Linked DNA regions of Oryzias latipes. The protein of the gene in region 5 purifies or fractionates together with the protein of the main gene of each other region. This does not show direct contact. Links are inferred from orthologs where the notes say so. Each region holds a gene or a part of one and is shown on either strand. Other genes may lie near its edges. The genes, in order: actb, zinc finger FYVE domain-containing protein 16-like, nup50, erbin, ppp1cc, ppp1r12a and ruvbl2.

What was found.
Region 1: the proteins of ppp1cc (region 5) and actb purify together in Homo sapiens (affinity purification with mass spectrometry; 3 studies listed by BioGRID and IntAct, with this or other methods). This does not show direct contact. The link is inferred for Oryzias latipes from reciprocal best matches to the Homo sapiens genes PPP1CC and ACTB.
Region 2: the proteins of ppp1cc (region 5) and zinc finger FYVE domain-containing protein 16-like purify together in Homo sapiens (affinity purification with mass spectrometry; 3 studies listed by BioGRID and IntAct, counting the BioPlex papers as one, with this or other methods). This does not show direct contact. The link is inferred for Oryzias latipes from reciprocal best matches to the Homo sapiens genes PPP1CC and ZFYVE16.
Region 3: the proteins of ppp1cc (region 5) and nup50 purify together in Homo sapiens (affinity purification with mass spectrometry; 3 studies listed by BioGRID and IntAct, with this or other methods). This does not show direct contact. The link is inferred for Oryzias latipes from reciprocal best matches to the Homo sapiens genes PPP1CC and NUP50.
Region 4: the proteins of ppp1cc (region 5) and erbin purify together in Homo sapiens (affinity purification with mass spectrometry; 6 studies listed by BioGRID and IntAct, counting the BioPlex papers as one, with this or other methods). This does not show direct contact. The link is inferred for Oryzias latipes from reciprocal best matches to the Homo sapiens genes PPP1CC and ERBIN.
Region 6: the proteins of ppp1cc (region 5) and ppp1r12a purify together in Homo sapiens (affinity purification with western blotting; 3 studies listed by BioGRID, with this or other methods). This does not show direct contact. The link is inferred for Oryzias latipes from reciprocal best matches to the Homo sapiens genes PPP1CC and PPP1R12A.
Region 7: the proteins of ppp1cc (region 5) and ruvbl2 purify together in Homo sapiens (affinity purification with mass spectrometry; 3 studies listed by BioGRID and IntAct, with this or other methods). This does not show direct contact. The link is inferred for Oryzias latipes from reciprocal best matches to the Homo sapiens genes PPP1CC and RUVBL2.

Annotation. Positions count from the first base shown.
Region 1 is NC_019866.2:19,166,587-19,170,875, reverse strand, and holds the start of actb (actin, cytoplasmic 1), read right to left. Parts: upstream 2,801-4,289; 5' UTR 2,732-2,800; intron 1,596-2,731; 5' UTR 1,589-1,595; coding exon 1,466-1,588; intron 1,374-1,465; coding exon 1,134-1,373; intron 807-1,133; coding exon 368-806; intron 297-367; coding exon 115-296; intron 32-114; coding exon 1-31. UniProt on the Homo sapiens protein: Actin is a highly conserved protein that polymerizes to produce filaments that form cross-linked networks in the cytoplasm of cells.
Region 2 is NC_019870.2:1,728,565-1,732,064, forward strand, and holds the end of zinc finger FYVE domain-containing protein 16-like, read left to right. Parts: intron 1-467; coding exon 468-626; 3' UTR 627-3,302; downstream 3,303-3,500.
Region 3 is NC_019881.2:23,772,923-23,777,048, reverse strand, and holds the start of nup50 (nuclear pore complex protein Nup50), read left to right. Parts: upstream 1-1,326; 5' UTR 1,327-1,732; exon of another isoform or gene 1,733-3,222; intron 3,223-3,281; exon of another isoform or gene 3,282-3,702; 5' UTR 3,703-3,735; coding exon 3,736-3,804; intron 3,805-3,878; coding exon 3,879-3,962; intron 3,963-4,032; coding exon 4,033-4,126. UniProt on the Homo sapiens protein: Component of the nuclear pore complex that has a direct role in nuclear protein import. Actively displaces NLSs from importin-alpha, and facilitates disassembly of the importin-alpha:beta-cargo complex and importin recycling.
Region 4 is NC_019870.2:4,453,781-4,457,280, reverse strand, and holds part of erbin (erbin), read left to right. Parts: intron 1-1,569; coding exon 1,570-1,633; intron 1,634-1,809; coding exon 1,810-1,884; intron 1,885-3,500. UniProt on the Homo sapiens protein: Acts as an adapter for the receptor ERBB2, in epithelia. By binding the unphosphorylated 'Tyr-1248' of receptor ERBB2, it may contribute to stabilize this unphosphorylated state.
Region 5 is NC_019867.2:25,505,867-25,509,962, reverse strand, and holds the start of ppp1cc (serine/threonine-protein phosphatase PP1-gamma catalytic subunit), read left to right. Parts: upstream 1-1,296; 5' UTR 1,297-1,618; coding exon 1,619-1,673; intron 1,674-2,305; coding exon 2,306-2,437; intron 2,438-3,143; coding exon 3,144-3,374; intron 3,375-3,555; coding exon 3,556-3,660; intron 3,661-3,911; coding exon 3,912-4,096. UniProt on the Homo sapiens protein: Protein phosphatase that associates with over 200 regulatory proteins to form highly specific holoenzymes which dephosphorylate hundreds of biological targets.
Region 6 is NC_019881.2:19,284,020-19,287,519, forward strand, and holds part of ppp1r12a (protein phosphatase 1 regulatory subunit 12A), read left to right. Parts: intron 1-18; coding exon 19-93; intron 94-169; coding exon 170-261; intron 262-340; coding exon 341-498; intron 499-1,569; coding exon 1,570-1,691; intron 1,692-3,500. UniProt on the Homo sapiens protein: Key regulator of protein phosphatase 1C (PPP1C). Mediates binding to myosin. As part of the PPP1C complex, involved in dephosphorylation of PLK1. Capable of inhibiting HIF1AN-dependent suppression of HIF1A activity.
Region 7 is NC_019872.2:21,687,052-21,690,631, reverse strand, and holds the end of ruvbl2 (ruvB-like 2), read left to right. Parts: intron 1-1,235; coding exon 1,236-1,454; intron 1,455-1,531; coding exon 1,532-1,650; intron 1,651-1,820; coding exon 1,821-1,940; intron 1,941-2,021; coding exon 2,022-2,151; intron 2,152-2,265; coding exon 2,266-2,380; intron 2,381-2,920; coding exon 2,921-2,946; 3' UTR 2,947-3,080; downstream 3,081-3,580. UniProt on the Homo sapiens protein: Possesses single-stranded DNA-stimulated ATPase and ATP-dependent DNA helicase (5' to 3') activity; hexamerization is thought to be critical for ATP hydrolysis and adjacent subunits in the ring-like structure contribute to the ATPase activity.

The DNA.
Region 1 (4,289 bases), on a different chromosome or scaffold from region 5:
CAGAGTATTTACGCTCTGGTGGGGCAATGATCTGTAGGGAGAGGAGGAGAGTTGAGAATGAGCCCCTTTTCCCCAAAGGAACAATCCAGACGGGAGACTCTTCAGAAAGCTCACCTTGATCTTCATGGTGGATGGGGCCAGGGCTGTGATCTCCTTCTGCATTCTGTCTGCGATTCCAGGGTACATGGTGGTACCTCCAGACAGCACAGTGTTGGCGTACAGATCCTTACGGATATCAACATCACACTTCATGATGCTGTTGTAGGTGGTCTCATGGATACCGCAGGACTCCATACCTGGAAGGAGATTAAATATTAGCATGGGGCACTCTGGGGTCTGTACACAAGTCTTTGGTTGAGGTACCTACCAAGGAAGGAAGGCTGGAAGAGGGCCTCTGGGCAACGGAACCTCTCATTGCCAATGGTGATGACCTGTCCGTCAGGCAGCTCATAGCTCTTCTCCAGGGAGGAAGAGGAGGCAGCGGTGCCCATCTCCTGCTCGAAGTCCAGGGCGACGTAGCACAGCTTCTCCTTGATGTCACGGACAATTTCCCTCTCGGCTGTGGTGGTGAAGGAGTAGCCACGCTCCGTCAGGATCTTCATGAGGTAGTCTGTAAGGTCGCGGCCGGCCAAGTCCAGACGCAGGATGGCGTGGGGCAGAGCGTAGCCCTCGTAGATGGGCACTGTGTGGGTCACACCATCACCAGAGTCCATGACGATACCAGTGGTACGACCAGAGGCATACAGGGACAGCACAGCCTGGATGGCAACGTACATGGCAGGGCTGTTGAAGGTCTCAAACATGATCTGCAGAGACAAAAAGCACAATGTTAGCATGTTACAAAGCAGCAATGCGACCACTCCACTCGCTACATGCATTAAAGTGGGGCTCGATCTATAGTTAGTACATGGTAAACATTCCTTCACACTTGTGCATGTCATTTTTAGGTGCTGATCTGTTACTCTAAGCCTCAAAACACAAGTGCAGATACAAGGCAAACTGTCAATAGACCTTTTGATGAAAGCTCATCTTATAGGAAGAAATCCTAGAAGAGGAGGATGGAGGAAGTATGAACAGAAGGAAACCAAGGTGAAAAGAGTATACATGTGCTCCACTGTGAGGTAAACGGGTACCTGGGTCATCTTCTCCCTGTTGGCTTTGGGGTTCAGGGGGGCTTCAGTGAGCAGGACAGGGTGCTCCTCAGGGGCAATTCTCAGCTCATTGTAGAAGGTGTGGTGCCAGATCTTCTCCATGTCATCCCAGTTGGTAACAATACCGTGCTCAATGGGATACTTCAGGGTCAGGATACCCCTCTTGCTCTGGGCTTCATCACCTACGTAGCTGTCTTTCTGGCCCATACCCACCATGACACCCTGAAAAAAAGTTTAAATTTACATTTAGTAAATCTGGAAACTTTTAAAATTAAATAGTAAAAAATTATAAAGGTAAACAGTTAGGAACTAACCTGGTGCCTGGGGCGACCAACGATGGAGGGAAAGACAGCACGAGGGGCATCGTCTCCAGCGAATCCGGCTTTGCACATGCCAGATCCGTTGTCAACAACCAGTGCGGCAATGTCATCATCCATGGCTAAACTGGAAAACAAACAAATAAGGCGTTAACACCAAAGACACGCCCATCTGCATCTGCTTTGCAGTCAGATGTCCCATTTCCTGTCAGGGAGCGGCAGTTCCCCAAAGTGTCCGCTTGGTGGAGGTAGAGCGCTACATTCCGAGCCCAGACAAAAGGAAGTGGTGCTGCATTCTCTTGTTACCATATAAGGACATAGTTCGGTTTTGAGCAGCTTTGCGGCTACCGGCAAGGCACGCGGCCAAAGTACAGCAAGAGGGGAGGGACTTTAGACTATCGGACCCGGCGACGAAAGCCTACTCCCACTGGTTCATTACAGCTCTACTTTGTCAGCGTTCCCTCCCATTGTTGCACAAGACTGAAAAATTTCTTAATCACTGCGTCATAATTTGTGCGAAGTCGTTGCTGGCATAAAGCACCACGACCCGTCAAGCTTTAGAAGGAAATTAAAACGTGTGCGAGCCCATGACTGATTAATCATTTCCTGAAAGCCACGCCTTTTCTTGAATGAATGATTTGTCATTTGCCCTTTTCTTCGCCGTCAAACTACAGTTACATGCTCAATTTAATCGAATACTTTTAAAATGCTTTAAGGGTTATTACATTTTATACAAACAAATGTATAACAGTCCCACCCCCCTACATGTGAGGAATCAGAGTCAAGTCTAGAAGGGCGTGTTAGCATGAAGCTAGGCTAATATGCTAAAGTAGGTCACACCCCGTAACGGCGCACAAAGGGACCCGCCAGGATCCAGACACCCTCAACTCGGACGGGTAACGTCCGTAGAAGGACTCGAAAAATTCCCCCCACCATGTAAGATACGAATAGTAATTTTTATTTAGTTGCTTATATAAAATATACAATTAAAACCAAACTGAAAAGCCATTTGCCGGTTACAATCAATTGGCACCTGTGCGTTTAAGTGGCTAATTTTGGTACAACTTGATTGATGCCAAAACAAACAAAATTGTCAATTTTAAAAAGATAATTAAAAGTTTAACCATTTCAGGCCTAAAAATAAATTTAGTGGCCACAAAATTCTGCTAATGGTCACCTCCAATTAAGAATTAAACTGCACAATTAAACAATCGTAAGGTTTCCAAAACATTTGAATTAAACCAAATATCGTCTCTATCTTACCTTTGGGTGGGGGGCTTTTCGTTTCAAGGGAATCGGTTTCAGGCGAATGATATCCCGCACAAGCTGTGTGTGACGGCGCTCAGAGTGAATTTGCTAGCCGTGGGCACGTGGTATTTATAGTCCGTCCGTTGCCCGGCTCTTTCCATAAAAGGTAAACTTTCGGAATCGCGGCATGTGATTGGTCCAGCGTCACTCACTGGGGCACGTCGGGTGCACGCTGTGGTGCACTGAGCGTAGAAAGAGGGAGGCGATAACAGTAACGGGCTGGGGGAAAATAAAAGGATAGGGATTGATGTGAGGCCTAATCTAAGGATATAATGTTTCTTGAACAAATATTAATACATATAGAGTTTACAAAGTTTCAAATATATATAAAATATGAACCTGTATAAAGCTTTCGAGCAAGTCCCCCTGCTTATCTGATCATTCAAACAGCAGAGCACAGGCTGCTCCTCCCTGTGAATACTTTTCCTCTTAAAACCTGTCTCTCAAGATTTCAGTCTGGAAATGCAAGATATGTTTGATGCAATTTGAGGACAATTACAATGTGGATGTTGCTGCACACTCTGGAAAGCAGAATGCCACCTCAGATGGAGTCAGAGACCCTCCAAGCCAAACACATGACTCACAAAAGACACTATGGACTGTAAAAGTGCCCTGTCAGAGGATGGACAATAACCACTTTTCCCACTAAGCAATGGTAAAAACTCAATCTCACTAATACCAATTGACCATGTATGGCATTAGTCTGGATTCTTGTTAACTTCTCAGAGCTCTTGCTACTTCCTCTTTCCCCTACAAATGAAGAAAAAAGGTCCACATAAGAGGACACTAAGGCTGACTTGCATCTACTTTTAGTCATAAATGACCTATTGAGTGAAAATAACCACTGTCAGACCCAACCCATACGCTACTATACATTCACCTTAATCGATTAAACTCAGAGAGAGACAAATAAAGTCACACATGCTCTTATTTCCTCTCTGTGGTTTACTGCAAAGGGTGTAACTTTCCTGACTTTGGGTTTTATAGGCTTAGGGTTCTTTGCTTTTACCTTACTTGTCTTCCATTCATTAGTTTCACAGTTTATTTAAACTTTTTTTGCTCCAGAAACATAGCTGCCCATACAAGTTAAATAACCCAGAGGCCATTTAAACATGTCACTGTCTGCGAGACACAAGCAGCAACTACTTTTCTTCCTCTTGTACCACTTCCTCTTCCTCGCTCTCAGTTACACCAATTCTTTTATGCTAAATGCCATCTCCTCTTCCTTCAATTCATTCGTGGCTTTAAGTTTTAAATGGTCTTTATTTTCATCAACACATTTCCACTTTATACATGGAAACGTTTCAGCTTTTTAATCAAGTTTCAAACAAAACATGCTTCATTTCCTTCTGAATTAGCAGATTCTTGCATTTCTGATCAGCAGACCTAACTTTTAAATGTCCATTTTTGTTTTGTTTTATTAACCCGCTGAAATAAAAGCTTCTGCTTGTGGGGTGAAACAGTTCTCTCTCGAGAGTTGTATGTAAATAATTCTTTATGTAAGAGTTTTAAA
Region 2 (3,500 bases), on a different chromosome or scaffold from region 5:
TCGTTCCAAACAAAGCAAATAATAAACGAGAAAGTTCCTCTTTTGAACCGGATTGTGGCTCCAGAACCTTCAGTTCTCACAGTTGAAGGTGTCGTTTGCAGATGCTGCAAGGGAACCTGGGAGATTTCTTTTCTCTCCTTGGTTACTCTGAAGCATCACTTTAACAAAAACCAGTGGAGCCGTTACAGCTGCTGACACCATGATGTTGCAGTGGAGTGGTCGGGTTTTGGGTTTTCCCTCTGGGAGACATCTTTACGTCCTCTCTGTGGTCCGTCTGCATTCACACTGAAGTGAACCGTACCAGGAGAACACAGACCCCGGTTCTCCTGGTTGGTCCCAACCAGAGTTCAGGTGAACTTTCCCACCTGCCGATGAAACAAACTCTGCTTTGGATCAAAACCTGCGGCAGGAAACGTCTTGGAGGATCCGTGAAGCCTGATGCTGTCTTTGTGGGGTTTGGCTCTTAGGTGGAGTACCAGGCAGGTTCCGGAGGCAGGCTCCTCCCCCAGCGCTACATGAACGAGATGGACAGCGCTCTGATCCCCGTCATCCATGGAGGCGGAGCCAGCGTTCCCCAGACTGCCATGGACATGGAGTTCGTCTTCTTTGTGACTCACGCCATCTGAGGCAGCTGCAGCGTTATGAAACAAAGAAGGTGGGGCCGCAGACGGGTGGAGCCCCGGCAGCTGCTGTGGGCTCCGGTCTGCATGTCTGCAGTCATGAAAGTGTTTTTGTGGAGCTGACCAAAGTAAAAACACTTCAACTTGTAGCGACCTCTGCCTTCATGGCTCCGCCGGAGCTGCTGAATGTTTCCGCAAACACTCCCAAGAGGAGCCCCCTCCCACAAGGAGGAGCCCCTCCCACAAGGAGGAGCACCTCCCACAAGGAGGAGCACCTCCCACAAGGAGGAGCGTCCTCCCACAAGGAGGAGCGTCCTCCCACAAGGAGGAGCGTCCTCCCCACATGGATGTATTCATTCATTCTGAATGGAGCGACAGCAGAGAAACTGCCGCTTCCTGAAACTGACTCTGCAAAAGACCAAGTGCTTTCAGTCCATGGTCCGGTCCGGTCCAGTCTGGTGTCTGCTCAGGTTTCCCGCAGACATCTTACTGTAAAACTGTTTGTTTTTTCTTTTTTGTAAACCAGGGCCCTAAAACCGCCGCCGTTCGCTCCGTCTGTGTTCCATGAACAATCGGAAACGAGAATCGCAGCTCCAGTCCAGAAATGGCGGCAAAGTGGAGACGAGTATAAAAAACCCATAAATCCAGGAGCAGACGGATCGTTTTAAAACCACAAACCCAGTTTTTATCCACACCAGTTGATCCGTCATTTAACATGTTCAGAGGTTCTGTTTGGCACCATCCACACAAAACTCAGCAAACGTAGAGAATTAAATGATTTAATTCACCTGGAAACACAAAGATGTTCAAAAATCCCAGTACAATTGTACTACAGAAAAATACACCTTTTCTCTCAAGTACTTATCTCTGTTCCTTATTATATGCAAATTATCCAGAGGATGGCTCCACCCACCTCATTTACATATTCAGGTGATTTTTAAGATTTAAAGAACTGAAATGTATTTAAGAAGTTCCAGATGGAAATGTGATTTATTCATGTATTTATGCGTTTTTAAGTCATTTTCCGTCCTTCAAAGCAGAGTCCAGAACACCAGCGCCTCCTCTTCTTCCTCTTCCTCCTCTTCCTCCTGTCAGCTCCTAAAAGCATGAAAACAGGGGAGACAGAGCTTCGCTGTGATGCTGCAAACACTACAAAATCCATAATTGTCTTTCAGTGTTTCTTCTTCTCCAACCAAAAATCCAACTTTGGTGAAGTCTGTGAATGAAAGACAGTTTACACGTTCAAAACCCGTCAAGGCCTCCGGCTTTCCCGCCTTTCATCAGGAATCAAACGCTCTTGTTTTCTGGAAGCACGAGAACAGACCGTTCTGGACGTTTCCAGTGAAAATGTGAAAACAGGGCCCAGCTGATGTGTGGGCGGAGCCTGAACAGGCCACTGTAGCCAACCAATCCCAGGTTTTGAAGGCGGAGCTAAACCTCTGACGCTTGGCGGGCCCCTCTGGAGCGTCTGGCGGTCGATAAACTCTGGTTCGAGTCTGAACAGGGCGATAGGGAGGGGGGCGATAGGGAGGGGGGCGGGGCTCCAGTGATTGTGTCAAAGTTTCTGTGTTTTTTTTTGAATAAATACATATATTGAAGAGTTATTTTTGAAACTATAGACGTGGATAAAAGCTGATATTTTTGATAGGGGTCGGTGAGGTCATGACAGAGATCCGCTGGTTCCTTTGAGGTTCTGGTTGGACCCGCTTTGAGCTGCAGCCTCTCACTTTGAGGGGAATTAAACCATCAACTTCATCAGCAGAGAAAACATTCTTCCAGCTTTTCTAGTTTCTTTTCACAAAACTCTGCAGCCATTTTTGTCAAAGCCTCGGCGTCTTACGTTCTGTGTGGCGACCAGCAGACGGGCAGAACCGGAACCCGTCTGTTTATTGTGGACTGGAGCTGGGGGTCCGACAGAACGACTCCAGGCTGTTTTCATCGGTGTCAGCTTTTCCTCTGGGTTCAGCTCCGTCCGGTTCTTGTCTTCACCGTAACTTCTGTTTTTGGAAAAACAGCTGAAGCTGGACCGGTGCATCGTGGAACCCGATGGTTCAACCCGAATGACTCAAATAAAGAACCGTTCCTTTGAGTCTGTGCCGAGGGGAACGTCAGCAAAATTGTCCTGAAGGAAAACTAAAATACGAGAACCTACAGAAGACGGAGGCGGAGAACCTGTTCTGGAATTGACTAACGTTCAGTGTGACTGAGGTCACGTGACCACGTCACACCAGAGCAACAGCTGAGTTGAACTCAGAAGAAACTCTGTCCTACAAAACGTTCCACCACAAAGCTCGATTCCTTCAAAGTAACCAACAGCTTTCCCCATCATGCAGTGCTTTGAACAGAAGCTGTTGGCGGTTCTCCCCTCAGCTGATGGAGGTTCTACTTAGCGGGGGAAGGTTCTCCTCAGGCCCTGACACTTGAAGAGCGGCTCTTGGAGGTCAGTCGTCGGGTTTTAATGTCAATCCTGCAGGTTAGAACCTTTTTTTTTGTCACTTTGGTCCAGCGGAACCCCTTCTTGGATGTAAATTCAGATCCAGCTTTCTTCTCGATCTCCAGAATGAGAACTTCTTTGATGCTCTGTGATTGTTTTCAAAGCGTTATTTCTATTTATTTTTAACACCAGCTTTATTTTGGCGGCCTGAATGTGTATTTAAGGAAATAAAAGCTTTGATGAAACCCTCCTGTTCTGCCGTCTGTTCTTCATGAGAACCTGAGTTCTGCATCATCCTTTCAAAAGAGACAAAATGCTTCAAAGAGGCTGAAATGAAGGATTTTTGCTCTGAAACTGTGAGGACATCTAAAAACTGTTTTCCCGTCGTTTCCCGGTGAAGCCGTCGTAACCGTCTCACTGTCGGTCTTCAGGCTTTGCCTTTTTGG
Region 3 (4,126 bases), on a different chromosome or scaffold from region 5:
CTTGTTTTTATAATTAACTTGATTTTTTTTTTTGTTTTTTTTAAACGTCCATCATAACAGGTTTACACCTGTGCTAGCAGGGCGCCCTGCCTATCAAGATGACCCCAAAGTTTGTGAATACCGGAGTTCAATCCTGTACTTTTCACAGTACATTGATAACATTTTTGAAGATCTGTTTTTGATCTAGTTTTGTTCCAACTACCGGGGAATCACACTCCTCAGCCTCCCTGGGAAAGTCTATGCCAGGGTACTGGGGAGGAGAGTCCGTCCCATAGTCGAACCTCAGATCCAGGAACAACAGTTCGGTTTCCGTCCTGGTCGTGGAACAGTGGAGCAGCTCTACACCCTAACCTAGGGTGCTGGAGGGATTGCGGGAGTTCACTCATCCAGTCCATATGTGTTATGTGGATTTGGAGAAGCTGTTCGACCGCGTCCCCCATATCCTGTGGAGGGTGGTCTGGGATTATGGGGTCCGGGGAGCCTTACTGAGGGGTGTCCGGTCTCTGCATGACCGGAGCAAGAGCTTGGTTCGCATAGCCGGCAGTGAGTCAAACCTGTTCCCGGTGCATGTTGGACTCTGGCAGGTCTGCTCTTTATCACCGGTTCTGTTCATAGTTTTTATGGACAGAATTTCTAGGGCACAGCCAGGGGCTGGAGGGGGTCTGGTTTGGAGACCACAGGATTTCCTCTCTGCTTTTTGCAGATGATGTTGTCCTGTTGGCTTCATCGAACCGGGACCTCCAGCATGCATTGGGGGGGGATTGCGGCCGAGTGTGAAGCGGCTGGGATGAGGGTCAGCAACGCTAAATCTGAGGCCATGGTTCTTAACCGAAGAAAGGTAGTTTGCCGTCTCTCGGTGGGTAGAGTGTCCCTGCCCCAGGTGGAGAAGTTTAAATATCTTGGGGTCTTGTCCATGAGCGGGGGAAGACCGGAGCGTGAGATTGACAGGTGGATCGGAGCAGCGTCCGTTGTGGTGAGGAGAGAGCTGAGCCAGAAAGCAAAGCTCTCAATTTACCGGTCGATCTTCCTCTGTAGCAGAAGGTCCAACAAGTAACAATAAAGTGATATAGAGTTTTATTGTTTTAGAACAAAATTTAATGTTTTTTGGGTGAGTATCACTCTAAAGATTTAATCTGCTCCTTTTTTCTGATTTTCCTACCCGAGTTCTATTTTCACAGAAATGTTGTCCTGTTGTCCTCTACAGTGGACGTGTTGGGAAATTAAAATAAAAAATATTTTTTTAAAAATTAAAATTGTAAGGTGTTTTTTTAAGCCCAAATAGAAAGGAAATCACACAAAAACAAAAATTGGAAGACACTTTTTTTCCTCGGTTCTCAGGAGGATAAAAACGAGATAAATAAATACTCTACCCGACTACAAATCCCAGCTATAGGCTCTTTACTCTGCGCATGAGCAGAGAGGTGGGGCGCGTGCACCCACGCGGATGTACCGTTGTGCAAAATGGCCGCGTGAGGAAGCTTTTTCAAAATCACTGAGTGAGTCAAGATTTGAAGGCGATCGAGAATCTGCGGTTCTGGTCGGTCTGTAGAACCGAGACCGGGCGGAAAGTCGCTCACAGACAGAGTTCGGGTCTCGGGTGACCGAGACCAAAGACCGCCACTGAGCGCTAGCCGTGACGTCAGGAGCTGTCGCGCGGCCCGGTTAGCTTCTCAGCGGGAAACGGTTAAGCGACGGAACGGGTTCCGGTCCGGTTTGGAGACTTCGGCCAAAGGTAACCAGCACGGTGAGTAAACCAAATATCCTGCCTCTATAACTGTAACCGGTTAAAGTAACGGGAGCGGCCAGCGGCAAAGCGAAGTGAGGCAATCCAACCGGAGGAACCGAACAGAAGAACCGCCCGGATTTTGTTACCATAGTGACACCACAAAACCCGCCAGACTGTGAGGATTCGGACCGAACCCGAAGCTCAGCAGGAAGTCGCTCCAGAATCTGGACCGTTGCAGAACCACCTGGTGGATGATCCGGTCGGAAAATGAAAACCGGATCTCATGAGTAGACTGATTATCTGAAGATCCGTTTTCATGTTCTGGTCCGAAACTGGGTTGTTGATATGACCGCCCGCGTGGTGGTACCTGACTTGGTTCTTCCTGGCCTGGTATCTGCTTAACCTGGTTCCTTGTCTGGTACCTGGTCTGGTACCTGGTCCCTGGTCTTGTTCCTGGCCTTGTCTGGTTCCTGGCCTGGTCCCTGGTCTGGTACCTGGTCACTGGCCTGGTACCTGGTCTGGTACCTGGTTCCTGGCCTGATACCTGCTTAGCCTGGTTCCTTGTCTGGTACCTGGTCTGGTACCTGGTCCCTGGTCTTGTTCCTGGCCTGATACCTGCTTAGCCTAGTTCCTTGTCTGGTACCTGGTCCCTGGCCTGGTTCCTGGTCTTGTTCCTGGCCTGATACCTGCTTAGCCTGGTTCCTTGTCTGGTACTTGGTCTGGTACCTGGTCTGGTACCTGGTCCCTGGTCTTGTTCCTGGCCTGATACCTGCTTAGCCTGGTTCCTTGTCTGGTACTTGGTCTGGTACCTGTCCCTGGCCTGGTTCCTGGTCTTGTTCCTGGCCTGATACCTGCTTAGCCTGGTACCTGGTCCCTTGTCTGGTACCTGGTCACTGGCCTGGTCCCTGGTCTGGTACCTGGCCTGGTTCCTGGTCTTTTTCCTGGCCTGGTGGCTGCTTAACTTGGTCCCTGGTCTGATACCTGCTTAGCCTGGTTCCTTGTCTGGTACCTGGTCTAGTACCTGGTCCCTGGCCTGGTTCCTGGCCTGGTAGCTGCTTAACTTGGTCCCTGGTCTGATACCTGCTTAGCCTGGTTCCTTGTCTGGTACCTGGTTCCTGGCCTGATGCCTGCTTAGCCTGGTTCCTTGGTCCCTGGTCTTGTTCCTGGCCTGATACCTGGTTAGCGTGGTTCCTTGTCTGGTACCTGGTCCCTGGCCTGGTTCCTGGCCTGAAATCTGCTTAGCCTGGTTCCTTGTCTGTTACCTGGTCTGGTCCCTGGTCTTGTTCCTGGCCTGATACCTGCTTAGCCTGGTTCCTTGTCTGGTACTTGGTCTGGTACCTGTCCCTGGCCTGGTTCCTGGTCTTGTTCCTGGCCTGATACCTGCTTAGCCTGGTTCCTTGTCTGGTACCTGGTCCCTGGCCTGGTTCCTGGTCTTGTTCCTGGCCTGAAACCTGCTTAGCCTGGTTCCTTGTCTGTTACCTGGTCTGGTCCCTGGCCTGGTTCCTGGTCTTGTTCCTGGCCTGATACCTGCTTAGCCTGGTTCCTTGTCTGGTACCTGGTTCCTGGTCTTGTTCCTGGCCTGATACCTGCTTAGCCTGGTTCCTTGTCTGGTACCTGGTTCCTGGTCTTGTTCCTGGCCTGATACCTGCTTAGCCTGGTTCCTTGTCTGGTACCTGGTCTGGTACCTGTCCCTGGCCTGGTTCCTGGCCTGGTACCTGGTCCCTGGTCTTGTTCCTGGCCTGATACCTGCTTAGCCTGGTTCCTTGTCTGGTACCTGGTCTGGTACCTGTCCCTGGCCTGGTTCCTGGCCTGGTACCTGGCCTGCTACTCGCTGTGCCAAAGATCTGTAATGTTATGCAAACCAAACCAAAGATGCAGTATAGTCAGCCCAGGGTCAGTTTCTCTGAAGCCCCGCCCACATTCAGGTATTGTGCGAGGGTCTGCATTCTGATCAAACATCCGCGCTGCCTTCACAGACTCCCGGGCGTTTGTGTTCTGACGCTGCTGCGATGGCCAAAAGGATCGCGGACAAAGAACTGACTGACAGGAACTGGGATCAGGAGGAGGAGGGGGAGGAGGTGAGTGGGGGAGGAGGGGGGTGAGGAGGGTGATGGATGTTCTGGTCTGTAACGCCGCCGCTGCTCTTCTGCAGGCCGGGACCTTCTGCCTGGCCAGCGAGGACGTGTTGAAGAGTCGGCCCATCAAGAAGGCCAAACGCAGAAATGTGGGCTCAGAGGTCAGAACCGGGCCTCCTGACGAGCCGGTCCTTCTGAACTGGATCTGACTCTGTTTTTTTCTACCTCCAGGCTGATGTGGGAGGAGCTTTCAAAGGCTTCAGGGGCTTTGCGTTCTCTGCGTCAGCCTCCACCAAGCCCACCGCCCCTGGCTTTGGTAACGCAG
Region 4 (3,500 bases), on a different chromosome or scaffold from region 5:
CTTCAGGTGCTTTTATAGAAGGTTTTATTTTTCTGTTCTTCCATTGATGCAAATGCCTTCTCTCAATGCCTCTTTAAAGACCCACTCCGAGCATCTTTTGATCTATTTTTTAAACCCTTCCCACTGGTCTTTTCATTACTATTTTGCCATTTTTAGGCAAAATCCAAAAACCCGTCATTGTCCAGGACTTAGTTTTTGCAGAGTAGCAGTAGCAATGCTCTTACCCCCCCCCCCCGGTAGGAACGTTGCAGGCTCGATTCCCACCTTGCTCGTCCATATGCCGAAGTGTCCTTGAGCAAGACGCTGAACCCCCACCTTGCATCTGGTGGATGGTTAGTTCCAGCGCTCGAGAAAGGTAGAAAAGTGCTATAGATGTATTTGCCATTTACCATATGCAGTGTATAATTGTCATCTTTTCTGTTATTATGATTTGCCTTTCAAGATGAAATGTCGGTTCCTGTATTTTTAAAATAAATTTCCCCCTGAAGTGCGACTTTTCCTGCTCTATTTTCTTCATAATATGTCTTCCATCAGCCGACAAATGCTACAAGGACATGTTAAAAACAACAAAAACATAATTTTAATCAGAGTGGGTCTTTAAAACCGCGCTGTCCTCGCCTCGTCTTCTTCATTTCCCTCCTTCTGCCGCTGAGAAGGCAGCGAGCCCTCAAAGATTTCCCTTTCGTCTGCCGCCGTGTTTATGTGACACAAGCCAGACCCGTTAAAAGCTGGAGCCCTGACAAAAAGATGGACTAATGGTCGGGAAGGTTGCCAGAGCAACACACAAGCATCCCCGAGATGTAAACAAATGTGTGTGCGCACAAAAGGAGTGCGGCAAATCTTTTCAGGGCCCTCCGTATGGAAAGCCCTCTTTGTCCCAGCACATAGACATACCCGCAGCGGTTGCATAGACTAAAGAGAACCGCCGTTTTCCCCGCAGCTTGAGGTCAGATGCCTTGGAGTTCGGTTTCTGGTAAATTCACTTTCTTTCTCGGCGTGCCAGCGTGGCTGATTCTCGCCCAACTTTTTACTCCAAATCACAGAAGGTTGTAAATCCTATTTAGATGTTTTTTTTATTATTATTTTACGAGGGACGGCATAAAAAAACCAGCTCCAGGGATTGAGTCAATCTCTGGTTTGTCAGAAAGAGCGGCTCAACGCCTCGTGCCATGCCTTCACTATTGGGTCGCCCAGCTGAGATTTTGGTCCTCGGTTACCCGGGAAGTTGACAGTAAAAACCCGCTGAAACCAAAGGAGGAGAACTTTGAGCCTGTGGCCTAAATATGTTGAGAAAATTCTGAAAAATTCCATTATTTAAAGCATCCCTCTCTCACCCTTCAGCTCCAAATTAATTTATGTTGTGCATCCATGCTTTCTGGAAGGATCCGGAGGTTCACGTATGGAACCTGACAGGCTTTCTTGATTTGTCCTGGCCTGTTTTTCATAGCTTTTCGCCCCCACAGTAGGGAAACATTATCGTTCTCCAAAGGTTTTCCATTCTTTTTAAATGCAGGTTGCTCAAGTTCATTTTTTGTTTTTCTAAGTCTGTTTCTGCTCGTGTTTCTGCAGGAGCATGCAGAAGCTCACGCAGCTGGAGAGGCTGGACCTGGGGAGTAATGAGTTCACTGAAGTGGTGAGTATCTGGACGCCTGCCCAGAGCGCTGCACCTCTCCTGAGGTGACCTTCTGTCATCCCTCTTTAATGTGCTTACTTTTCCTCTCCTGAATGTTGAAAAGATTTGTTTTTTCTTGCGAAGCCTCTTGGTTAGTTGCCCCGCTCAGCGCTCTCTGTCTCCTCTGTGCCTTTTAGCCTGAGGTGTTGGAGCACCTGTCTGGAATCAAGGAACTGTGGATGGACGGGAACAAGCTGACGGTTTTACCTGCGGTGAGATTTACGCTCTTTCCTACTTTCAGGGACTCAAATAAATCATCTTCAGGTCATTTTCTTTGACCTCTCATTACTTTGTTTTCCTCAGTCTTCATCAAAACAAACAACAGTCTTTTAAAATAAAATTTAAAATTGATGATAATCAATAAGCATATTGATATGATTTGTAATATGTTTTGATAATAACGAACAAGAACGTTATCTTTGTTGTTTGATAGATAATCTGCACTTGAACTGAAAATGTATTGAAGACCCACTTCAATCATGATCTATTTAAAAGGGTTCCCAGCCCAAATCCTGTGTCGTTTTCTAGGACATCGTTTCTGCAGAGCGGCAGGAGTTCTTTAGAAATTCATTTCGGAGTTGTGGGCGGGAGTCTTGTAACCCCGCCCCCCCTTCCTCTCCCTTTTGCCAAGAGTTTAGAGCAAGGAACTTGTGGCCCAACCGGCATATTTACCTCGTCTCTAATACGCTATTTTTCAAACAGCTTTTTTTTTATTTTTATGTCTGCTCCTGATTAACAACAGTTTGAATATAGAAATAAACTAAGGCTAGGCGCTTTGACTACACAGAAGAGTCTCGAGGAGTCAGAGGTGTGTGTGAACGGACACGCCGCCAGACACTGGGTAAAAAACATACAAACGATTGTATTAAAAAATTGAAATAAAGAAATAAATAGACCCTTTGTTGAGTCCAGTTATTGTTCAACTTCCAAGATAAACTGTTTTCTCTTGTTTAGAGTTCCAGAATGACGTATGGTTATTAATTTTGCCAGAGTTCAGTGGTGGATTTAAGTTCCACAACCCCACAGTGCAGTTCAGTGGGTAGCTCGCCATCCAATGCTGTAGAGGTAACTGGATCCAAAAGGTGAACGGAATAAAAACCTGGCCCAAAGGGCAGTTGAGTGTATAGTCTGCTCAGGCTTTTGGTCGGAACAGCGAAAAAGGATCTCTGGATGACAAGTTGGCGTTTCAAATACAGCCAGCCACAGCAAAAGGTAGCAGCAGCTACCTAAAATGCAATTTTAGGCTTAATTTTCTTTAAATATGTCCTCCAATGTTAGAAAAATGTGCAAGCACAGGTTAAAAACTCAATTTTCTTTGGAGTAGGTCTTTATTAACTTCTAACACATGTTAAATGGTTTATGGCAACCAAATAACAGCAGAAAAAGGCTAGACAGATCAAAATAGAGGTGGGATTCTAAATATATTTATACACCCCGTCTTCGCCCAACAGTAGCTGGGACGGGTTCCCCAACCACAAAAGTGATAAAGCTGATTAAAATAATGGATGGATGGATTAAGTGCAAATATGTCTATATATGATTTAGAACAATTATATCATGATCATTTTTATGTCAAGATCAATTTATTAATTAATATCTGAAAAAGGATTTGATATATCGATGTAGTTTTATTGTTGTCTTTTATCTCCCTTTGTTTTTCAAAATTGCTTGAACTCTGTCAATAAATCATTCCAAAAATATCTGTCTTAATCAATCTGCTGTAATTATTCTGATGATATGTGATCAAAATGTTCCTTTTTTTTTCCATCCAGTCCACCTGCTTATACTGAATCTGGGTCAGCGCATTAGCTCTGCTGCCAGCATTTCT
Region 5 (4,096 bases):
GTTTCATTTTAAAGCACACTCTTCTAGGAAATGTTTTCATTCTTCCTTTTTAAACTGTCAAGCTTGAATTCAAACCTAAAGTTAGTTGTGCCAAAAACCTTTAAATTGAAGCTTCCGAAGTCGCTGACTTTTGTTAACCATTAATTTTTTCCCCACATTATTCATGCTATTTCTAGCTTGCTAGATATTTTTTTGAATAGGCAAAGTACTTTTATAACAATATTTTCATATCTTCACAGTTATAAATTCAAATTATGCGGATCATATTTCAGAAAATGTATAAAGCCCTCAACTGACTTGCTGGTTATTTCTCGTAAAGGGAAGGACAGAGACCTCTAAAATGACAATGAATCCCAGTCAAGCATCTGTACTGATTATTTATATACTGATAAGATGCATCTTTTTCTAAAACAGCAAACCGAATACTATTGAATTTGAAAAGAGAAACTTACTCATAGTTATTAATTTATTGTATTTACTAAATACATTTTTTTATTTTGCTCCAAAATTATGAATCGACATAATACTTATATGTTTAGATTTGGATCACATAAGAGTCAGGGAATGAATCACAAAAACAAAACAAAAAATTGTAGGTTTTTTTTTTTTTTTTGGATGGCCTTTGATAAGCATGAGGCTTCAGCACAGTCTTTTTTTATTAATGTTGATTATTGTTTAAAGGAAAAAAAACAATTACCTTTAAAAGACCAAATAAACATAAAAAATTACATAACATTTTTATCTCTGATTTAAACTTTCCACATAAATATAGATAGTATTCGTGACACTAACTATCCATAAAAACAGTTGGTTCTGGTTTTATTATGAGATGCTAATAAAAGTAGAAAAATATTTCTTAAAGCATTTTGATATGTGTTGCTTTCACTTTATCAAAAATGAAACCAGAGCTGAAGAACAATCCCAGAAATTAGCTTGTTTAGTTCTTAAAATCAACATAGTCTATTTACTTTAGGGGGTAAAGAGGAAAAAAACTCCATCAACCTATAGTACAACAGCAAAGTAAAACAAGCCCTTTTATTATAAACATTCAAATGGAGTAAAAGAAAATGTATAAATGTGCAAATCATTACGTCAAACCTCAAATTACCATATTGTAGCAAAACATGTGATTTATTTTGCTGTCATAAACTGCTTTTTGAAACGAGTAAATGAAGTCTTGTTGGTTCTATACAGAATGGTGAAACATTATTTTGAGAAGTTGGCGCGCTCCTTCACGCTGCGTTCCCCGTTCCGTCCAGTAGGGGGCAGACGCAGCGCGGCAGCTATGTTCCGAAGGTGCGGCAGAGGAGATAACAGACGGGACACCATCACCAGCTAACAGCTAGAGCCCGTGACGTCCTCCTTCAAGTCCCGAACGCTCAACAAAACCCGCCGCCGGATGGGATTATTTTTAACGTCTGCGACGTGCAAATAACCTAATTAGGATTTAATATTATATATTCATCCCCCCCGCGCGTGCGTCCGACTAACATATCTGAGGTTGAACCGGAAAATCAGCCGAGCTAGCTAATTCTACGGTAACTAGCAGGCTAGCTTTCACAGGAGTTAGCGTAAAGATCTAGATTAGACAGAGACGACTTTAACGCAGGCGCTTGCAATGGCTGATGTTGACAAGCTCAACATAGATAGTATAATCCAACGGCTTTTAGAAGGTAAGGAAATTATCATTTTTTTGCTTTTATGGTTGTTTGTGCTACACATCTGACAAAAAAAAAACAACTAGCGTAGCGACGCCGGTTTTTTTTTACGCACTCGATAACACATAAAGATAAATACGTATTTTTTTATAATTAGCTGAATTCTGTTTTACAGAGATTGTTGGTGTTTCAAAAATGCACAAAAGCGCATTATAATCACCGTGTTGTAAAGCGTAAATGGTGTCTGTAACGCACAACCCCGGGATTGTAATGTTCAGGCTCTGCAGATGTTCTTATTTATAGTAGTCATTTAAGTGTCTGTTTCTATTTGTAAAAAGACCATCATATCATTTCATGTTGTTTTGGCTTAATGTTATCTCATTTCAGGTTTGGTGAAACTAAAGTACGACGTGTTTTTGTTATCACAAAAAAAAATCTGTGTATCATTTACCGTCAAAGACACAACACCCATAGATGCTGTAAAAGACCATAAAATGACTAAAAAGAGCATTTTGAATTCAGAGCTTGCTAAACATTAAGTGATTTTGTCACGGTCTTAATACAAACTGTGCAGGGCATTGCTGACCTGACAGGAACTGTACTTTTTTTTTTTTTTCCTGACTGTTGTTTGTGTTTTTTCCTTGCAGTCAGAGGAGCAAAGCCCGGCAAGAATGTGCAGCTGCAGGAGAACGAGATCCGTGGATTATGCCTCAAATCTAGGGAGATCTTTCTCAGTCAACCCATTCTCCTCGAGCTTGAGGCCCCTTTGAAGATTTGTGGTATTGTTTGTTTGTATTAGGCTTAATTGCTCACTCTGATGAAAGTTGTGTTAACATGTTCTTGTGGGCTTTTTCTAATGATGGAGGACATATGTTGACAAAATTAAGCTTAAAATGTGCATTTCTGAGTATTTCCTTATTGAAATAGTAGAAGCAGAAAGAAAAATGCAGTTGGAAAACGCTTGTAGCTGTGACGTAGGTGCTACCATCAGCAAGCAACAAGTTCCCCCGCTCTTTTAACGTATCCACTTGCAAATAACTAGATCTATGTTCGTCTTTGTTTTCTGTGTCTGAGCTAGTATTTGACTCTAAACTGTATGGTGGATAGCTGCAATATTGCTAGCCATTTTGTTATTTTATGTTGGGGTTGTGAGTGACTGTGAGCTAGCGGGAGAATGTGTAAACACATAGATAATGGGAAGTAGGGGTGGGCTAACTCTATACCAACAGTTCCACAATTCAGAAAGCATCCTCGGAATTGCCCACAACTCAAGAGGCAAATTTAGAATGAACTCCTGCGGAAACTATGTTCTAGAAAACAACACAGGTTGTTTGATTTTGGCTTTAAAAAAAGGCTTAATCATAATTTAAAAATACCACAGAACATTTTCCCAAACCGGAAAAGATGATTGGAGGGGTGCTTCTAATTAACAAAGGAATGAATGTGTGTTCATCAGTTTGGTTTCCTGTATTCTGTATCATTCAGGTGATATTCATGGGCAATACTACGACCTGCTCAGGCTGTTTGAGTATGGGGGCTTCCCTCCAGAGAGCAACTACCTGTTTCTGGGTGACTACGTGGACAGGGGGAAGCAGTCTCTGGAAACAATCTGTCTTCTGCTGGCCTACAAAATAAAATATCCAGAAAACTTTTTTCTGCTGAGGGGAAACCACGAGTGTGCTTCAATCAACAGAATATATGGCTTCTACGATGAGTGTGAGTGGTTTTATATTGACTTTAGAGAGGCTTTTGGACACGTGCACCTTGATGCACAGCTGAACCCTGATCTTTACACATAGTTGCTGTGGCTGATAAAGATGTTTATGGCCATTTAATTGCATGTTGGATTAGAAAACACCTTCTTACATAATCAAAGACATCTGTCGTCACTTTTTAGGTAAAAGGAGGTACAACATCAAACTCTGGAAGACTTTCACCGATTGCTTTAACTGCCTTCCTATCGCTGCAATTGTTGATGAGAAGATCTTTTGCTGTCATGGAGGTGGGTTTTTATGTTTTATTCATAGCAGCATGGTTACACCCTGCATGTTTGTAACAATATTTACACATAATGTCAACGTTCCCACTGTGGCAAAGTTGAATGTCGAAAGTAGCGCAGCATTGACGTCAGCATTTGTCATTGTGAAACGCTGCCTATGCAGTTTGTCAGCTACTTCTTGGACTCACTTGCATGTGATAGGACATGGTGTCAAATCCGCTGCTTTATGTGATTTGTTTTGTCATTAAATATAGGACTTTCACCCGACCTTCAGTCCATGGAGCAAATCAGGCGCATCATGCGCCCCACTGACGTGCCCGACCAGGGCCTGCTGTGCGATTTGCTTTGGTCTGATCCGGACAAGGATGTGTTGGGCTGGGGGGAGAATGACAGGGGGGTGTCTTTCACCTTTGGCTCGGAGGTGGTGGCCAAATTCCTG
Region 6 (3,500 bases), on a different chromosome or scaffold from region 5:
TGTCTTCCTTCCCTTCAGGGCCAAACTGCTTTTGATGTGGCAGATGAAGATATTCTGGGATACTTGGAAGAACTACAAAAGAAGCAGACTCTTGTGAGTCAGTGCTCTTCAGTATTTTAATCAAACGACAAGATTTGTTTGAAAATATCTTGCCGTTCTGTGATTCCAGCTGATGAGCGAGAAGAAAGACGTGAAGAAATCTCCTTTGATTGAAACGACCACAACAGGGGACAACAACCAATCGCTGAAACCACTAAAGAGGTAGCCAAGGGAGCGGCGGAGGAGCGGAAACGTTTAGCTTTGGCTGCAACGTGCTAACGCGCGCTAATGTGTTCCATAGCAAGGAAACGCTGCTGCTGGAGCCGGAGAAAAGCGCTCCGTGCATCGAGACCCTGGAGCCGGAGAAAGTGGACGAGGAGGAAGAGGGGAAGAAGGACGAATCGAGCTGCTCCAGTGAAGAGGAGGAGGATGAAGATTCAGAGTCCGAGACAGAGCCAGGTATTCTTTTATTTGTAAAGAATAAAAGCACAGAATCGTACACGCAACCCAAGAGCGACAGAAGTAGGACGTTTTGCCCAACAGTATGGAAGACCAAAACTGCACCATGAAAGAAAAAAATTTGGCAAAACAAGAGACAAATGAAACCAAACATGTACTGCTATCAAGAAAACTTTAGATTTGTGCAGAAACATAGTCAAAGATGTCTGCTTTCAGTCTAAGACCAATAAAAAAAAACATTTTATGGATAAATTAAGCCACAGCATCCTCTTCATCCTAGTATTTCTGTCCTAAAATGTCCTTCATTATACTGCAACCTGACGCTCCGGATCCAGTTCACTCTTTGGTTAAAGAAAATAATAGGTTTAAAAGGTAATTTTGAAGTAAAAAGTAAGTAGTAAAGTAATACAAGTATAGTAAAGTAACCCAACAAGGTTCCTGACTATGGGGGCCATAATCTTCATCAATCGTAGTGGCATTAAAACACTTTGACAGATTTTTGAGTATCAGTAAGCACAATCTACCTAAAGCACAGCAGATTATAAAAAACAATTTTCTATTTTGGAACAAATTCAAGGACTTTTATTGCGCTTTTTATTTATTTTTATTTAGTAACATGAGTTTCTGGCTGAGATGCACCACAAACTGTAAACCGTCATTGCTGCTGACATCACACTACCTACTACTACATTTGCTGAATTGAGATGATCCTATGTGGCACCGGATGTCTTTTATTTTGAAAAGATGTCATATTAACCTCTGTCGAAAGTTTTTTTTTACCAAGAAAACTTTCTCTTTTTTTATTTAGCCTAAAATGCAAGTTGTTTTATATTTATCATAATAGTACCATTAACGCACAAATGTAATAAAATAAGCATTAACATACAAATCTGTGTTTTATTTTAATAAAGGGTGACCTAAGACTTTGTCAGCAAGAAATCAAACCGATTGGCTGTTTGGGTGTTGAAGGTTGCAGACCCCCCTGGATTAAACCACTTATTAATTATATTGAGGGGAATCCCAGCATTGCTGTTGGAAGACACTTGTTCTCTTGTCCTTCTCCCCATCCAGAGAAGAACAAGCCGTCAGCGGTGGTGAGCAACAGCACGGCGCCCACGTCCGCCAGCATCACCGTGTCCTCGCCATCGAGTCCCACCAACCAGGTGACGACTCCCACTTCGCCCGCCAAGAAGGTACGAGCTGCTGGAACGCTTTTTTTTCCTCCACGCCTGCTTCTAAAAAGCTTACAGAAAACCCAACAGCTGCTTGCTGTGAAAAGCCCTTTGAGGAAGTGGCTCACCTCGGTGAAGCCGAGATCTGATACGGGTCTTTGACCTGTTAAAGTCAGAACTGGACTTCCTGTTATGACTGTTGTGTTGTCCTTGCATCTTTGCCTCATCACTGCAAACGTTTTTGTTCTTGTGTCCTTATGGCAACCCAACTCGTTGAAATGAAGTTGACGCATTTTATTATTCTGCTGTTGACCAAACAAACGTCTGTAGAATCCCAGTTTTAGCAAAACTGTCTCCCGATTGGAGGAGGAGGGGACTTCAGGTAACTTCCGGATGATTGAGGTCCATAAATTGGCGGCTGGGTAGCTCGGTTGGTAAGGTGGAAGGCTGCCGAGCAGGAATCCAGGGTTCGATTCCTGGAGGGGAATAAACAATGGTGCAGGCAATTACCAATGGCGAGCAATTAACACCACCCAGTGGGGGTCGTTGGGCAAGACGCTACTGCCTCCGGAGCGTGGTTTAGCTGCAGCTCACCATGCTCCTCCCAGCGGACGGGGTCAATTTCCCGTTGTGGGATAAATGAATTATTAATTAATATTATTTATTAAATTAGGTTCTAAATTAAGAGTAGCTGAAAAATAGACTGGAGTTTGCTGCCCTCTGCTGGCCAATGAATATGCAAGCGAATGCTCCAGTCAAAATCAAATAATAGTCTTTCTCTTTTTAGGAAATGTTTGCTAATTCTAAATTTACTGTTACAAAATGTAAAAAAGTTTCCTTGTAACAGCTGCTGTTTTGTATTTTGAAATATTATTTTGTTTCTCTCACTTTTCGCTTTCAGTCCTCAATTCACAGTTTCAATTCAGCCTTTTTTTTGTGGGGGGGGGGGGGGGGGGTTATGATGATGCCATTTCTGCCGTTGTTGGAAGATCTTTTATTTCTTTGGTAATATTAATATTTAAACCAGGTCTTCAGTATTTCTACAAATTAAAAAATTTTTCTTTTAACATTTACTTCATTTTTTTCAATTGTTTTATATTTATTTCAAGATTATAATGTTTGCTTATGAGTTTAAAATGTCTTTTAAAACTTCAAGTTGCATTTTTAAATTTACAATCTGATTTTCATTCACTTTGAACCCAATAATTCTTACCTCATTTAGGCCTCCTTGAAGCAAAATTAAAAGCATTAAAAAGTTAAAAAGTGAAATGTCAATAAGGAACCGTGGATGGTTAATTTCTACATTCAGAATTTTTGGAATTGCTTTATTTCAAGCAATCAGAAACAGGAAGTACTAAGGAAATCAAACAAAAGAGATGCACATTAATTATGATTTGATTGGAAACTAGATCCACTGAATTTTTACAGCACTTTTCCAACTCGTGTTACTCAAAGTGCTCACAGAAAAACATTACTGAGTTTTAAAAACTAAAAGAAAGACATTGCACAACAAACGTGTAAAAAACAACATACACACTTCATGGTAAAGCATAAAATAATTCACTAAAATGATGCAAAGTAGAAATCTGTCTCTGCACTAATACACACACATGATCTCATCATAAAGACTCCTAATCCTTAGTATTTTCTGCATATGACACATTGAACCCATTAAATGTGAAATTAGTCAATTAATTGCTTGAAAAGCAGTGGGAAGAGGTTAACTTGCATAATCCCACCACTAAAACGCTTTAATTGAATCTTTGAGTCGGTATCTGCTTGGTCTTTAAGCTTTTTTCCCCCCTAATTTTTTGAAATGCCTCCGTTAAA
Region 7 (3,580 bases), on a different chromosome or scaffold from region 5:
CCTATCGTGGGTTATTTTTAGAACGTAACCCCAGCGGTAAATGAGGGAACACTGTACTTGAAAATGTAACTTCAGAACTGGTTAATCTCAAAATCTTGGGTTATGATGACATTGATTTGCATAAAACTTATCTGAATATTGTTTATCCCGAGAATCCTTTCTGCTCAAATGAAAAAGTGTCTCAAATAATGAAGACTTGAAATGAAAAAAAAAAACGTGGATTCTGTCATTTAAGCTTTAAGTTTCACTCTGTCAAATGAACCACAAATGAGTAATATATAATAAAAAATAAAAAGATTTAATGGACCACAAACTTGGTCAGTAGCAGATGTTTGTCTTTGCAAACAGCAATGACTGCAACTCAAAGAAGGACACTAAACAAAATCTGACAGCAGACACGGCGTAATAAGGTGGAGGGATGGAACACAGGGAGCAGTGACGTCTTGTTCTGCAAAAGCAGGTGGGGTTGAAGCTGTGACATAGTTTCCAATGCAGGAGTTCATTAGACATTTGCCTCTGATTTGTCGGCGCGAAACAACCTTCCCGTCCCTGTTGCTGAGAGCTCTGTTTTTACACTCTCCCACTAGCTTACAGCCCCTCACAACCCCAACCTAACATTACTGCTGCCACAAAAATGGCGAGCAATGTTAGTTCTATCCAGCCGTACAGTTTAGATCCAGATTCCAGCTCAGACGAGGAAAACAAAGACATTCATGGATCTCTTTGTCTGCAGGCGGATGCATCAGAATGGAGCGGAGCAGGGAGCCTGTAACTGCCGATTGTAGTTTCTACGTCATAAATGGGAACATTTTCAAACAGGATCTGCTCCTGGTTCACAACAATTTGAATAAAGAAATAGTCAGAATTGTAATTTTCTTGATAAGTTTCCTCCATCAAGAGAAAAATCTCCCAAGAACAAAATAAAAAACAAAAAAAACAGGGTTTTCATTAGAGTGGATCTTCAAATATGTTTAGGGGATGCACTTAAATTTCAAAATTCACTAAATGCGGTTTCATTACGAGAATGGTATTTGTTTTATATTTGTTGTTGGTGTTGATATTCCAGCCAGTTTTGCGTTTTACTGACACTAATTTGAAAAAACAAAACAAAAACTAAAGAATTTAATCAATTACAATTGAGGGTAAAAGATGATCTAGTGATTTTCTCTTGAGAACCGTCAGCTGATCCTTAAACCGCATCAGCTGTAACTGCTGTCCATTTCCTCTGCTTGCAGACTCAGTTTGTCCAGTGTCCTGAAGGAGAGCTGCAGAAGAGGAAGGAGGTGGTGCACACAGTGTCCCTCCATGAGATCGACGTCATCAACAGCCGCACACAAGGCTTCCTGGCTCTGTTCTCCGGAGACACCGGAGAAATCAAGTCGGAAGTCCGAGAGCAGATCAATGCCAAAGTGTGTGAGTGGAGGGAAGAAGGCAAGGCGGAGATCATTCCAGGGGTACGCCGCCGCCTGCATTTTGGGATCCTTTTTGTGTTTGGTTGAGGGTAACTGTGTGTGCATGCGTGCGGCTCCAGGTGTTATTTATTGACGAGGTGCATATGCTGGACATGGAGTGCTTCTCCTTCCTGAACCGAGCCCTGGAGAGCGACCTGTCTCCAGTCCTCATCATGGCCACCAACAGAGGCATCACTCGGTACTGTTCATGCTGCTGATTCACTTCAGCTGTTTCCTTTGATGTGTATGGCTTACGCGTCCTTCAAAACTAATGCTCTAAAATTTAAAAGTTGTTTTATAATCTTTGATTTTTTTTTTCTCCCCCCCACAAAAACATTCTTTGTTTTATTTTCGTACGTTTTCCCACAGAATTCGTGGCACAAACTATCAGAGTCCTCACGGCATCCCCATTGACCTCCTGGACCGGCTGCTCATCATCGCCACGTCCCCGTACACCGAAAAAGAGACCAGGCAGATCCTCAAGATCAGGTGGGAGCGCGGGTTTGCTTCCCGCCACCGAACCCTGCTCCTGTTTTCAGCATCACTCACATCCACTTCCCGGTGTTTCAGGTGTGAGGAGGAGGATGTGGAGCTAAGTGAGGAAGCGCACACGGTGCTCACTCGAATCGGCATGGAGACGTCGCTGCGTTACGCCATCCAGCTGATCAGCACTGCAGGGCTGGTGTGTCGCAAGCGCAAAGTAAGCTCCACTACAAGAAGATGCTCTCAGCATCACTGTTTTCTGGTGTTTTGGTAAATGAGAACATGTGACTGTTTTCATCACGGAGGGATCTTTTTGTTTGTGCTGCTTCAGGGGACAGAAGTTCAGGTGGAGGACATCAAACGCGTTTACTCTCTGTTCCTGGATGAGGCCAGGTCCTCTCAGTACATGAAGGAGTACCAGGATTCCTTCCTCTTTAACGAAACACGTAAGTTTCAAGTTTAAAAACAAAAACCAAATCTCAACACTTTTGAATTTCTCAAAGTCCCACTCCGATCCCAGTGTTCTTTTTAATTATGATGTTGCTGTTTTTTGCCAAAATCAAAAAACCTGTCGTTCTCTAGACATAGTTTCTGCTGCGTCGCTCGCAGTAGCTCATTAGAATTTCACCTTTGAGTTGTGGATGGGACTGTTGGTGCGCAGCAACTCCGCCCCCTCTTCCCGTCCCGTTGCTGAGAGCAGGGAGCTTGTCTCTCGCTCAGCATATTTTCTACCTCAGATACGCTCTTTTTTTTTTATGTCCTTCTGATTCACAACAATTTGAATAAAAAAGTAATCAGAAATACAATTTGTATTCTTCATTTTCTTTATTTAAGCCTCTATATCATCAGAAGAATGCCACAAGAACACACATTTTATCAGAATGGGCCTTTAACTGCCCCCTTTTTGCATTTGCAATGATAACTTTTATACTCTCCCTAAAATATTGAAGGACGAAAAGTACATTGAGCGTGTTTTTGTGTTGCAGAAACGGCCGTCATGGATACTTCATAACGAAAACACAGCTCAGCTTCTCTGCTTCTTCTCTCCTAGATTCAAGCAGTTTAGGACTGAATCCCCACTTTGAGTCAAGTGATTACCTGAAGTAGAGATGAAATATGAATTCATTAAAGTCCTACATGTTTCCATTGGTTTGCTACTCATTTGGTGTTGTATTCAGGAATTTGTCATAAAATCACAGAAATTGTGGATTTACCGTAACTGTGTTAATCAATGAGGCCTTTAAGCCAGGAAACCCATTCCTGTGGTTTGTTCTTTGTTTTGATTTGTCACTGCTTGTTATTTTTGAACAATTAAACGGACTTTTGTAGTCATACTCGGTATTTTTAATGTCTCATTGGTTTCTAATTCTCTCCAAGGTTTTATTTGTGATTTTAGTCTGAACACTGAGACCAAACCTTTACGGTTACATGTGTTTCCGAGTACAATGACGCACCTTAGCAAACGTGGGTTAGAATTATGATGTAATTTATGACAGTTGTTCTTTTTTTTATCTATGTTTCGCATGGTGTGGCTTTTGAAATGGATTATGAATTACAATTATTTGTTTAATGTGCACTTTTTTTCATAAAAAAAAGCTTTTGAACACAAGTGGAAAACTTCAGAAGTGTTTGAGTTTCACCTGAAA